Macaca mulatta: one gene and its partners. The protein of the gene in region 2 purifies or fractionates together with the protein of the main gene of each other region. This does not show direct contact. Links are inferred from orthologs where the notes say so. Each region holds a gene or a part of one and is shown on either strand. Other genes may lie near its edges.

The links.
Region 1: the proteins of TOP2A (region 2) and SRPK1 fractionate together in Homo sapiens (co-fractionation; 3 studies listed by BioGRID and IntAct, with this or other methods). This does not show direct contact. The link is inferred for Macaca mulatta from reciprocal best matches to the Homo sapiens genes TOP2A and SRPK1.
Region 3: the proteins of TOP2A (region 2) and CTCF purify together in Homo sapiens (affinity purification with mass spectrometry; 3 studies listed by BioGRID and IntAct, with this or other methods). This does not show direct contact. The link is inferred for Macaca mulatta from reciprocal best matches to the Homo sapiens genes TOP2A and CTCF.

The regions. Positions count from the first base shown.
Region 1 is NC_133409.1:146,367,838-146,372,324, reverse strand, and holds part of SRPK1 (SRSF protein kinase 1), read right to left. Parts: intron 4,229-4,487; coding exon 4,120-4,228; intron 3,421-4,119; coding exon 3,333-3,420; intron 2,150-3,332; coding exon 2,062-2,149; intron 1-2,061. UniProt on the Homo sapiens protein: Serine/arginine-rich protein-specific kinase which specifically phosphorylates its substrates at serine residues located in regions rich in arginine/serine dipeptides, known as RS domains and is involved in the phosphorylation of SR splicing factors and the regulation of splicing.
Region 2 is NC_133421.1:64,769,671-64,774,157, forward strand, and holds part of TOP2A (DNA topoisomerase 2-alpha), read right to left. Parts: intron 3,960-4,487; coding exon 3,807-3,959; intron 3,560-3,806; coding exon 3,436-3,559; intron 3,327-3,435; coding exon 3,283-3,326; intron 2,545-3,282; coding exon 2,410-2,544; intron 1,089-2,409; coding exon 889-1,088; intron 249-888; coding exon 120-248; 3' UTR 1-119. UniProt on the Homo sapiens protein: Key decatenating enzyme that alters DNA topology by binding to two double-stranded DNA molecules, generating a double-stranded break in one of the strands, passing the intact strand through the broken strand, and religating the broken strand.
Region 3 is NC_133425.1:63,169,505-63,173,991, reverse strand, and holds part of CTCF (transcriptional repressor CTCF), read right to left. Parts: intron 2,073-4,487; coding exon 1,952-2,072; intron 1,318-1,951; coding exon 1,168-1,317; intron 1-1,167.

The DNA of each region.
Region 1 (4,487 bases), on a different chromosome or scaffold from region 2:
AGAAAAGAAAATAGGGAATCAATGGACAGAAGCTACAGAGAAATCACCTAGCAATGTTTGAAAAATATCTTGAGGGCAGGGCGCAGTAGCTCACACCTGTTATCCCAGCACTCTGGGAGGCCGAGGCGGGCAGATCACCTGAGGTCAGGAGTGTGAGACCAGCCTGACCAACATGGAGAAACCCCGTCTCTATGAAAAATACAAAATTAGCTGGGCATGGTGGCATGCATCTGTAATCCCAGCTACTTGGAAGGCTAAGGCAGGAGAATCATTTGAACCCGGGAGGCAGAGGTTATGGCAAGCCGAAATCGTGCCATTGAACTCCAGCCTAGGGAACAAGAATGAAACTCCATCTAAAAAAAAAAAGAAAAAGAAAAGAAAAATATCTTGGAACTTGAAATTCAAACATACTAAGATATTTCAATAGTTAAAAAGCCTTCTTTGCTTAGTTAGGGTCAAATAAAGGTACTCAGCATTACCGGGGAGATTTGAGAGTATTTCTATAGTTTTACTTGGAACTTTCGCAAATTAGTAAAGAAATCTGGCACAATGAAAAACATTACAAGATTAAATAATAGAAAAAACAGATACGGCCATCATGACACCCTGTGTGTGTTTTTTAAAAATTTCTTGGTTAGAATTATTAATTCTTTGAAAACAGAGAGAGAGAGAGAGAGAAAGCCATCTACAAAATGACCACAATAAGCACAAGATACTGTTTTAAGATGGTTGCAGCAGTTTTCCTTAGACATCTGGGGGATCTGTGATTTGTATTTTTCTAAGAAATGACTCAGAATTGACTTTAGAACAATAGTCTTTCCACATTATCAACTGTTTTCTCTCCTTTCCAACTTCCTTCCTGCTTCTCTGTTCAAATCTCTTCCCATAGTCTACATGAAACTACAGTCACATGTAATCCTGTCTCCTTTAAATAAAAAAAGATCAACAGCAATTAGGAATGTGCATTAAAGGAAGCTAAACATGCATGAAAAGTAAAATAATATATGAAATGTCTTTATACATTTTAAGACTAGCTTATAAACAGGTATTTTAGATTCTCCAATCTAAGTAAGATTCGACTTCAACTTTTACTGAAAAATCTGATTGACCTTTATAAGCATAGCTGTTTCAACAACTTTTCAATTAGCCCACCGCACATCACTTTGATACCTGTGAAGAAAATCAGCTACAGTTCCTTCCAATTCTACAATTCTAAAAATCCAGATAAAAACATAAAACAAGTCAGTTTTTCATTATAACAGAACACGAATAATTACACCCTTTTAGACTCTAAACATAATCTACATTCACAGCCTCTTCAAAGTTGAGGCTTAGTATAATAAATACAATCATACTTTAAATTGTTTACCCAGTTTCTTCCTTTCTTTCTCTTTCTCTTTCTTTCTTTTAGACAGTATCTTTTTTTTTTTTTTTTTTTTTAAGACAGAGTCCGGCTCTGTCGCCCAGGCTGGAGTGCAGTGGACTCAATCTCGGCTCACTGCAACCTCTGCCTCCCGGGTTCAAGTGATTCTCCAGCCTCAGCCTGCCCAGTAGCTGGGATTACAGGAGCCTGTCACCACGCCCAGCTAATTCTTGTATTTTAGTAGAAACAGGGTTTCACCATGTTTGCCAGGTGGGTCTCGAATTCCTGACCTCAGGTTATCCACCTGCCTCGGTCTCCCAAAGTGCTGGGATTACAGGTGTGAGCCACCATGCCCAGCCAACACACTATTTTTCATAATAAATTACTTCCCTTAAGGTTTCTGTGCTAACAAAAATCATAGATTCTTTACTTGGTGATACAAGGCATTTTCTAAAAGTTTCTTTGATTTCGGTCTAATTGCCTGAAAAGGGGACAAAAAACTTAAAGCAATATCCTGAAAAATCACACCACACAAAATCAGACAAAATTCAGAGCTGTGTTCAGAAGTGTACAATAAAAGAGGTAATTTTATTATAGTTTGCCTTGAGAAAAGACACCAAGGCCATCTACACAACAAATCTAGTTCCTTTCTTTGGGATTGGGATGATTTATTCTCAAATAGGTTTTTAAAAGGATACGTGTTCCATTAACTCCTGATATTTTAAAGTCATCTAGTAGTTGAACAACCATCTCTCTGTTTGGATCATTAGGGTCTGAATTGCGAACCTGTAGTGGGGAAAAGAGAGTAAAGCATGGAAATAAGCCAAATGGTATGGGAAGAATACTTACAGCAAATTAACTACAAGAAAGAGCTCACATAAATCTATCTTTAAAATATACTAAAATTTCAATAGCTTTAATGGAGAAAAATCTTAGTCAATTCATAAGAGGAAATACAACCAACAGGAACTATTTTTCTAATTTTGCTAAACTATTTTGCTCCCTGATATCAAAGTGTGGCCTCCAAATTAACTGCAGATTACCAGGCTATGAGGAACTAAGCAGCTTTTGCAGGATGCGAATCAACTATAGCACCAACAGCACTGTTTATTTCAGCCAACATTTTTTTTTTCATGGAAAAACTTTCTCAATGAAGAAAACAGTATTTACTTTTGGGTAGGTACAAGGCTCCTAAACTTGTCACAAACGGACATTCTGAAAAGTACTGTCTTAAGCCAGGTGCAGTGGCTTGTGCCTGTAACCCCAGTTACTCTGGAGGCTAATAAGGCAGATCACTTGAGGCCAGGAGTCGAAAATAAGAAAAGTACTGCCATAGAAATCTCCTGGTGCAACATTCTCACTTTATGAATAAAAAATCTAAAACTCAGAAAGAAAAACACGGTAACATGGAGAACATATCGGGGTAAAGGTGACCTAAACCCAGGTTTTCTAATTCTGAGTTTAAGTTCCTTCTACCACAATGGCATATTCCTAATTTAAAACAAAATTAAAAGTACATTTTTTATAGAATTTATCTCAGTTTCCAGGTATAAATGGAATCAGTAAATACAGTATTTTTATATTATGTATTCTATAACATATTTGAAAACAACAAAAAAGATGCTATACATTTATTTACACAACTTTCCTTTTAACCATAGTAGGAAAGAAAAACATTATGACAGTAGTTACCTGGCCTGTAAAACATGCTCAGTGAATATTTTTATTCATTTGAAAGGTTTTTTTTGGTTCATGTGTGTAAGAATTCTAATCATAGCATTTCCCACCAGTTCCCTACTACATGCATGGAATGTGTAAATATTGTTGTCTTCCTTAACCTCTTTAAGGATACTAGAACTTTATAGAGAAAATTATCCATGCTGAGGAGTCTCCACTTGGTGTGCTTTAATTCAATGAAACTTGATATATTTATAATTCTTTGCATTCATACATATAATCTAATACTCACTGACTTCAGCAACCGGATTTCATCGAGTGCTGTTTCGGTGTAATGTTCAGCACTTTTAACTACTTTCATTGCCACAAATTTCTTCCCCCTAAGAAACAAACACAGGCAATTAAGACTACATAGCCTACCCTTACTTTAGGAAGCTAAGGTTTAGCTATAAGATGGTTAAAAAGGACAAATACTGATTTCATGTTTCCCTGTAGCCCAAACAAGCTACTTCTATGGGAACATTTGTACTTGTTAATGATGCTAACTGGCCAGATTTCATTTGTAGGAAGAATAAAAGATCTGTTCTCAGATAATCTCAGTTGTTGAACATTTTCTCTGAGTTAAAATCCTTCTTTTGAATATCTCCCTGAATTTCAAGCAAAACTTCAAAATGAGGATAAATAAGGGGAAAGATATTACCAAATTCCAAGTGTTCTGTGTATCTGTATATAGGCAAAAACTAAAAGGTTAATAGCTGTAATATTTTCCCACAGGCAGCCAGAAGAAATATTTGGGTGAAAAGAAAACGATAAAAATAACAAAAAAATCAAACGACAAAAGCTTTACCAGCATTAATTTAATCACTCTTGTCTCTAAAGTAGAAAGGGAGATATATAATACCGATTCTTCACGAAAGAAAAGTGATTTCTCCAAGAATATAGAGACTATTGCCAACAACAAAATTCTGATAAATGTATCAGGCTAGAGATAGATTGAAGTCTGGATCAGCAGTGGAAACTCAGACAAACATATTTAGACATCATCTAACTAATTTTTTTACAGAACCACTAAAACTTACTGAATATCCCATGATAACCATACTGTTGAAAAGTGTCCCCAGCCTAACTTTCGGATCACATGATATCTCCCATTGAATAGATCTCCAATTTTCACAAGATGATAACCTCCTGGAAGACACAGGGGAAATCAGAAAAACCAGGACGAGAAACAATGGTAAGAAAAGGCATTTTTACATCACATTTTTCAACATCTATATACCTTTTATCAACAAAAAGTTTCTTTTATACAATCAATTCAACAGAAGAAAGCCTTAATAGTCAAATCAGCCACATAGTATTACTGACTTCATGTTATAAAAAAAGTGAATAGGATTAATGATTTAGATTGAGCCTACAACAGCCTCATCCAAAAACAATAAAAAGGTTG
Region 2 (4,487 bases):
TGTACTAAAAACACCTTCCCCAAACTAAATTCAGAGGGGAGGAAGTTAAGAGCTTCAGGTAACTTTAAAACCAGTCTTGGGCTCAGTAAGATAATTACTTAAAATAATCACCTCACATTTTAAAACAGATCATCTTCATCTGACTCTTCCAGGTACTTTATAGGTTTCTTTGCCCGCACAGATTTTGCCCGAGGAGCCACAGCTGAGTCAAAGTCCATATGGAAGTCATCACTCTCCCCCCTGGATTTCTAAAAGAGAAAAGCCCAGGTAATTTGTACAATGTAAATCTGACGACATAATTGTAATGTTAAAAAAATGTATCAAGACACTACATTCAAGGAGTTTTCTACTTTCTACTAAGTAATAAAAAGCAGATCTAAAGCCAACTCTTCCATTGCCCAAATAAGTGACATTATTTAACTTTGTTAAAACTAAATATGTACAGTAAAAGCTAACAGATTATGAGAGTTAATTTTCTTAAAGACATGCCAAATTATTTTATTTATTTATTTTTTTTTTTTTGAGACTGAGTCTGGCTCTGTCGCCCAGGCTGGAGTGCAGTGGCCGGATCTCAGCTCACTGCAAGCTCCGCCTCCCGGGTTTACGCCATTCTCCTGCCTCAGCCTCCGGAGTAGCTGGGACCACAGGCGCCCGCCACCTCGCCCGGCTAGTTTTTTGTATTTTTTAGTAGAGACGGGGTTTCACCGTGTTAGCCAGGATGGTCTCGATCTCCTGACCTTGTGATCCGCCCGTCTCGGCCTCCCAAAGTGCTGGGATTACAGGCTTGAGCCACCGCGCCCGGCGACATGCCAAATTATTAAGAGCAATGGCTTAGTTACGTGTTTCAGAACACCTACAGCAAAAGGACTGACTAGAATCAACACTCACCTTGCTTGTGACTGCTTTTGAAACAATTTTCTCAAAATTAGAGTCAGAATCATCAGAAGTGGATGGCTTCCTTTTGCGGCGAATCTTGGTTTTGGCAGGATCAGGCTTTTGAGAGATACCAGAATTCAAAGCTGGTTCCTTTTTAGTTCCTTTAGGGGCAGCCCTTTTTTTGGCACCGGTAGTGGAGGTGGAAGACTGACCTGCAATTCAATACAGGCATTTGTTACAGCCGCTCTTTTTTTGAGATGGGGTCTCACTCTATCGCCCAGGCTGGAGTGCAATGGCATTATCTTGGCTCACTGCAACCTCTGCCTCCTGGGTTCAAGCGATTCTCCTGCCTCAGCCTCCTGAGTAGCTGGGATTACAGGCACGTGCCACCACACCTGGCTAATTTTTTGTATTTTTAGTAGAGATGGTGTTCTACCATGTTGGTCAAGCTGGTCTCAAACTCCTGACCTCAGGTGATCCACTTGCCTTGGGCTCCCAAAGTGCTGGGATTACAGGCATGAGCCACTGCGCCCGACCTAGTCATAGCCACTCTTAGATGAATTGTTCTCATTGTGAACTTTCTTCAGCAATGTGATGACTGTGTATATTTAACATAGGAAAAGACAATCTAAGAGAGGTGAAAATAGAGAATCAAAGTATTCTTAAACATTCTATTTTTTTTTTTTTTGAGATAGCGTCTTGCTCTATCTCGCCCAGGTTGGAATGCAGTGGCACGATCTCAGCTCACTGTAGCCTCTGCCTCCTGGGTTCAAGCGATTCTCCCGTTTCAGCCTCCCGAGTAGCTGACTACAGGCATGTGCCACCACACCTGGCTAATTTTGTATTCTTAGTAGAGACGAGGTTTCACTATATTGGCCAGGCTAGTCTCGAAATCCTGACCTCAGGTGATCCACCCACCTAGGCCTCCCAAAGTGCTGGGATTACAGGCATGAACCACTGCATCCAGCCTTAAACATTCAATTTTAAGAATATGTTTTACATTAAACATTTGCAATTGCTTATAAATCCTATCCTTGTCATAGAAATGAACTAGATGAAGCCTGGTACTGAGAGAAACACGCTGATTTTAAACATTTGGACTACCTTATTTTTGGAGACAGGGTCTCACTCTCTCACTCAGGCTGGAGTGCAGTGGCTTGATCATAGCTCACTGCAGCCTTGAACTCCTGGCCTCAAGCGATCCTCTTGCTTTAGCCTCCCAAAGCGCTGGGATTACAGGTATGAGCCACTCTGCCTGGCTTTTGTTTTGTTTTGTGTTTTGACTAGTCAAGTGCAGTAGTGAGAAGGAGGGAAAAGAGTAGAACAAGGAGTTTGATCTGTAACTGAATGAACAATCAGGACCAGCCTTGACTACTAATTTTGATTATAAAGATCTAAAAGAAATTGCTTCCATTTGGAAAAGGTTTAATTTGTAATATCAACAGTAAGTTTTGGCAATAAAAAATTGAAATTGCCACGTGAAAACCAGTTAGTTAATTGCAACATTAACCCATCTCAAAGATTTAGGCTTACTTTTTGCTGCTGTCTTCTTCACTGTCACATTCTTTTTAGGAACTGTGTTTGTAATTTCAGTTTCATTTGGGAAATGTGTAGCAGGAGGGCTTGAAGACAGTGGTACACTGTCCTTAGCATCATCAGCTTCAAGGTCTATCATTTCAAATGGAAAGGAAAATAGTACATTTAAGCCAACACATGAAAATCCATTTTCTGCTTTGTGCTTGGTATGAATTCCTATTTAAACACCAAATATGTGACTTTTCTGGAATATTTAAAACATACTTTTTTTTTTATTTTTTGAGATGGAGTCTTGCTCTGTTGCCCAGGCTGGAGTGCAGTGGCTTGATCTCGGCTCACTGCAAGCTCCGCCTCCCGGGTTCACACCATTCTCCTGCCTCAGCCTCCCAAGTAGCTGGGACTACAGGTGCCCGCCACCACGCCTGGCTAATTTTTTGTATTTTTAGTAGAGGCGGGGTTTCACTGTGTTAGCCAGGCTTGTCACGAACTCCTGACCTCAGGTGATCCACCCACCTCGGCCTCCCAAAGTGCTGGGATTACAGGTGTGAGCCACCATGCCCAGCCTAAAACATACTCTTAAAACTTTGTTCTAATTTCTGAATTTTTTATCAGCAAGAACAGTTTTTATTTTTTGTATCTCTAGCACCTAGCAAAGTACCTGGCAAGCACTATGATTACTTTTAGTATACTGAATGCAGTACCTATTTACATGTGAAACTAAACCCAACGAACAGTGTCAACATAATGTTATTAAGAACTCAAATTTATTTCCAAAGGAAGTACTTGGATAATGTAGCCAGGATTAGAACCCAGTTGGATCTGAGTGTCCCAGTAAGGCAGATGTCTCACTGCTTTTACTTAGATACATACCTGACATAGCCCTTTTCTGTGGTTTCAGATCTCTGTTAGTAAGTCTAGAATTAAAAAAAAAAAAATCCTGACAACCAATTCTAAAGGTGTTAAGCAAAAAACAATATATTAGAAACAATCATGACAAAAACCCATATTAGAAAAGATACTTACTTTGGGGAAGTTTTGGTCTTAGGTGGACTAGCATCTGATGGGACAAAATCTTCATCATCAGTTTTTTCATCAAAATCTGAGAAATCTTCATCTGAATCCAAATCCACTGTGAATTTGGTTTTTGCTAGTAAAAAAACATATACAAAAAATCAGAGGGTAGTAGGAGAAACACTTAATTCATAGGTTGATATAACATTTCATGAATATTTTAGTTTTTAATCTCCTGAAAGATGCTTCAGTGTTTCAAAGCTTTAACTTACTTTAATTTACTGCTCTATTAAGACACAGTAATTTCTGGGGCAAAGTACCCTGAAGTATATTGGCCATTCCACTCTTACAGCTTATCTATAATGTTCTTTAGTTTTCCTTACTTGCTGCTCTTCGTGGCTCTGTTTCTCGTGGAGGGACATCAAAATTACTTTCGTCACTGCTCCTATCTGATTCTGAATCAGACCAGGGATTTCTCTTCTTTCCTTTTTTGATTGGCTTAAATGGCAATGTAGTTTGTTTCTTTGTCTTTGTACCTAGAGGAGAGATAGAAATCAACCACCTTTATATATTCTGAGACTCACTTTTCTCCATCTATCATCCATCTATGCTTCAAATTTATTAACCGCTGTGATAGTTCTGAGAATACAATCGTGAAAAGAAACAGATATGGTCCCTGTTTTTGTGGTGCATATAGCTTGGTCACTTAATCTTATAAATAAATACAATGTGGCCAGGCACAGTGGCTCATGCCTGTAATCCCAACACTTTGGGAGGCTGGGGCAGGAGGATTACTTGAGCCCAGGGGTTTGAGATCAGCTGGGGTAAGATACAAGACCCTGTCTTAGCTGGGTGTGGTGGCTCACACTTACAATCTCAGCACTTTGGGAGGGTGAGGTAGGTGCATCACTTGAGCGCAGGAGCTCAAGACCAGCCTAGACAACATGGCCAAACCCCATCTCTACAAAAAATACAGACATTAGTGGGCATAGTGGAGTGTGCCTGTGGTTCTAGCCACTAGGGAGGCTGAGGTGGGAGGACAGTTTGAGCCTAGGAAGTTGAGG
Region 3 (4,487 bases), on a different chromosome or scaffold from region 2:
AAAGTAAAACAATGGGCAATACTTATTTCTGCTTTGAATAAAAAAAACACAGCAGGCAATCCAAGTGACTATCTTTCTGTATGAGTTACACTAAATGTGTTTTTTTTTTTTTTTTTTTTTGAGACAGTGTCTCGCCCTGTTGCCCAGGCTAGAGTGCAGTGGTGCGATCTCGGCTTACTGCAAGCTCCGTCCCCCAAGTTCACACCATTCTCCTGCCTCAGAGTCCCGAGTAGCTGGGATTACAGATGCCCACCACCATGCCCGCTAATTTTTTTTATTTTTAGTAGAGACGGGGTTTCACCTTGTTAGCCAGGATGGTCTCGATCTCCTGACCTTGTGATCCACCTGCCTTGGCCTCCCAAAGTGCTGGGATTACAGGCGTGAGCCACCGTGCCGGCCTAAATATTATTAATAAACTCCATATCTATGTAAACTCTAGTTTATGCACAGAAAAACAGTTGCTACTAAACCAATAAAATAGTCCCATTACTTAGAGAAAGTACAGATGTTCTCAAAAAAATACAATAGAATGACCTGAGTTTGAATTACACTATGTTACTTTCCTATTTGGGGAAGGAGGGCTACTAATTAAAGGTGGGCCGGGCGCAGTGGCTCAAGCCTGTAATCCCAGCACTTTGGGAGGCCGAGACGGGCGGATCACGAGGTCAGGAGATCGAGACCATCCTGGCTAACACGGTGAAACCCCGTCTCTACTAAAAAGTACAAAAAACTAGCCGGGCGAGGTGGCGGGCGCCTGTAGTCCCAGCTACTCGGGAGGCTGAGGCAGGAGAATGGCGGGAATCCGGGAGGCGGAGCTTGCAGTGAGCTGAGATCTGGCCACTGCACCCCAGCCTGGGCGACAGAGCGAGACTCCGTCTCAAAAAAAAAAAAAAAAAAGGTGTACTCTGTTTCCTCCCATCACAGCTCCCATTAACTTATAGATGAGTTTTATTCAGGACAGAATCTTGTGGCCTGACTACAGTAAGAAAAAGAAGAAACAGGAAAAAAAAAAAAAAAAAAGTAGCTAAGCAATGGCTTTTACTAAGTGACAGGCCATTCCTATACATAAAATGTATGAGAGTCAGAAGGTGAAGTTATTTATGATCCCCATATTTCAAAATATAAATCCTTCAAAATATGTTTTTCACTTGTCACTGATCTACTTACCCAAATCACTTTTTCGGGCTATGACTGTGTCACAGTGGGGACAGTGAAATTTGGCCACATTTTCTGTGTGCTTCTGTAAAATGTGCATCTTCATGGTACCACTTTGGGTAAACCGAGCATGACAAATATAACATTCATAAGGCTTTTCTCCTTTAAAGAAAATACAGAATTGAACACATTAAATGAAATGAATAAATACTGTAATTTAATTGGAGGGTAACTCAGGTGGCAGATATGCTACATCACAGAGAATCTACAGGTCTCAGGAAGGCTGAGGCTCAGTCCCAGTGCCCAGATCATGTCTATCTTCAGACATGGCCAAGTCCTAAACTGCTACTGGCCACCTCTGCTCTGTCCAGCTCTGCTCTGGAATCCTCCACATTACAGCAATGCTTACCTTTGGGGAAGACTGAATGGGGAACCCACAAGTTTTTCTTTTTAAGAAAAGGCAGTATCCAGGAAAACTGAATAAGGTGGGTTAGGAAATCCACCCAGACTTTCAAAATTAAAATCTGTCCATTTTAACTTAATTTCTCCCTTAAAAAGTATTATTTTCTTGTTATAGGCAGATTCAAGTTGAACAAAACAAAAGGTACTATTTTCTAATGTATTTTCCGAACAATGAATTCAGAGGATATGCCAGAGAAGCATTAATCAATTCCATACTATTTTCATGCCAGTCTTCCATTTGCATAAACAATGGGGGCACACAGTGGTCCACAGGGTCCCATGGGATTCACTGAAAAGCAGCTCATTAATACAGTAAGGAGTGGAGAAGTCCTACCTGAATGGGTTCTCATGTGCCTTTTCAGCTTGTATGTGTCCCTGCTGGCATAACTGCACAAACTGCACTGAAATGGACGCTCTCCAGTGTGAGAGCGAATGTGACGTTTTAATTTGCTGACCTGAAATATGAAAACAAAACTTTAACTTCTGTTAACACAGACTGTAACATGAGCACTGTAGGTTAGGCACAAAAGCTTAGCTTTGGAGCACTGAAATTCAGAATACAGAAGAAGTCTAAAAGATAACCTTCTCTCTTCATTATTTGTAAACTTTGCTTCTCGAATCCTTATCATTATCTAAGAGAAGTGGGTAAATGAATACGGGTGTAGATGAGTCAAGACTGGTCATTACTTGGGAAGCCAAGGTGGGCGGATCATCTGAGGTCAGGAGTTCAAGACCAGCCTGGCCAACATGCTGAGACCCCCTATCTACTAAAAATACAAAAATTAGCCAGGCATGGTGGCACACACCTACTCGGAAGACTGAGGCTGGAGAATCTCTTGAACCCAGAAGGTGGAGGTCGCAGTGACCCAAGATCATGCCATTGCACTCCAACCTGGGCAGCAAGAGCAAAACTGTCTTAAAAAAAAGATTGCATGTGACTAGTAACTGTTTAAGCTGGGTGGTAGGCACATGAGGATGTATTACAATCTTTACTTCTACATGTTTGAAATTTTCCGTAATAGTTTAAAACTAATCCATGCCTATTTACAGATCAATTTGTTCCAAATCCTGAGTTACTGAATACATGTTTTAATTCCACTCATCCTCTTTTCCTATCATTAGGGTTTTCTAGACAGGCCAGGCTCGAAGGGCCTCTCATCTATCATCCTCCCATTATCCATCCTTTAGTCCCCTGCAGGATACCTTATACTAAAACAGTGACTTTCAAACTTGATTCTACGAAGTGCTTTGAGGGCAGGGTGCGGTGGCTCACACCTGTAATCCCAGCACTTTGGCAGGCCAAGGCGTGTGCAGATCACTTGAGGTCAGGAGTTCGAGACCAGCCTGGGCAACATGGCAAAACCCTGTCTCTACAAAAAATACAAAAATTAGATGGGTGTGGTGGTACATGCCCGTAGTCCCAGTTACATGAGGAGCAGCTAAAGTGGGAGGATCACCTGATCCCAGTAGTTTAAGGCTACAGTGAGCCATGATCACACCACTGCACTCCAGCCTGGGCGACAGAGTGAGAGACCCTGTCCCCCACGCACCCCCTGCCCCAAAAAGCGCTTTGAACATTCACTAATGTTTCAATGTTTGTTTTGAAAAATTTAAAAAATTTCCCAATTTTAAGGAAAAAACAAACAAACAAAAACAAGCACTGCACTCTTAAGTGTTGTTGGTTTCTCTTTTGAGATGAAATCTCGCTCTGTTGCCCAGGCTGGAGTGCAGTGTCACGATTGTGGGTCACTGCAACCTCCACCTCCCAGAGTCAAGCAATTCTCCTGGCTTGGCCTCCCAAGTAGCTGAGACTACAGGCACACACCACGACGCCTGGCTAACTTTTGTATCTTTAGTAGAGATGGGGTTTCACCATGTTGGTCAGGCTGGTCTCGAACTCCTGATCTCAGGTGACCAACCCGCCTTGGTTTCCCAAAGTGCTGGGATTATAGGGGTGAGCTACCATGTCCGGCCCCAGTTATAAGTGTTACACACCAAGTTTTCAACACATAAGTCGATAACTATCCTAATAGCATTACTAACTCTCTTCCTTCAAGATTTCCCTATTTAACCTGTTAACTCGTATGTACCAGAACCCACTCTGTTCCAATGAGCTATCTATTCCTGCTGCAATATCACACTGGTTTCATTTACTATAGTTTTACAAAATCCAATTACATAAGCCCCTCATTCTATTTTCAAATTTATCTTAGCCATTCACATTTATTCTTCCAGCTGAAAGTTAGAATTAACTTGTAATGTTTCTTCATTTATTCATGTCCTTTGGAAAAGCTTGAGGTTTTCTTCATGTAGATTTCATAGATATTGTTGTTGTTGTTTTTGAGACAGAGTCTCGCTCTGTCGCCCAGGCTGGAGGTCAGTGGCATGACCTCGGCTCACTGCAAGCTCCGCCTCCTGGGTTCACCCCATTCTCCTGCCTCAGCCTCCTGAGTAGCTGGGACTACAGGTGACCACCACCACGCCCAGCTAATTTTTTGTATTTTGTTTGTGTTAGCCAGGATGGTCTCGATCTCCTGACCTAGTGATCTGTCCGCCTCGGCCTCCCAAAGTGCTGGGATTACAGGCGTGAGCCATCATGCCCAGCCAGATACTGTTTTTTGTTGTTCAGTTTATCCCTAAGTTATTTTATTGCTATTAGAATCCATTTTACACCTTCCTATCACTATAGAAGTTACTGATTTCTGTATGCTTATCTTATATCTGGTCAGTGAACTGAACTCTTCCCGCTCTAAGTTTTTGTTTTGATACTCTTAGATTTTCTCTGTAAGCAAATCTCTCTGCAAGAAATAACAGTTTTATCTTTCCATTAATAATTCATTTCTTACTTTATTCTATTAGCTAGGATTTCC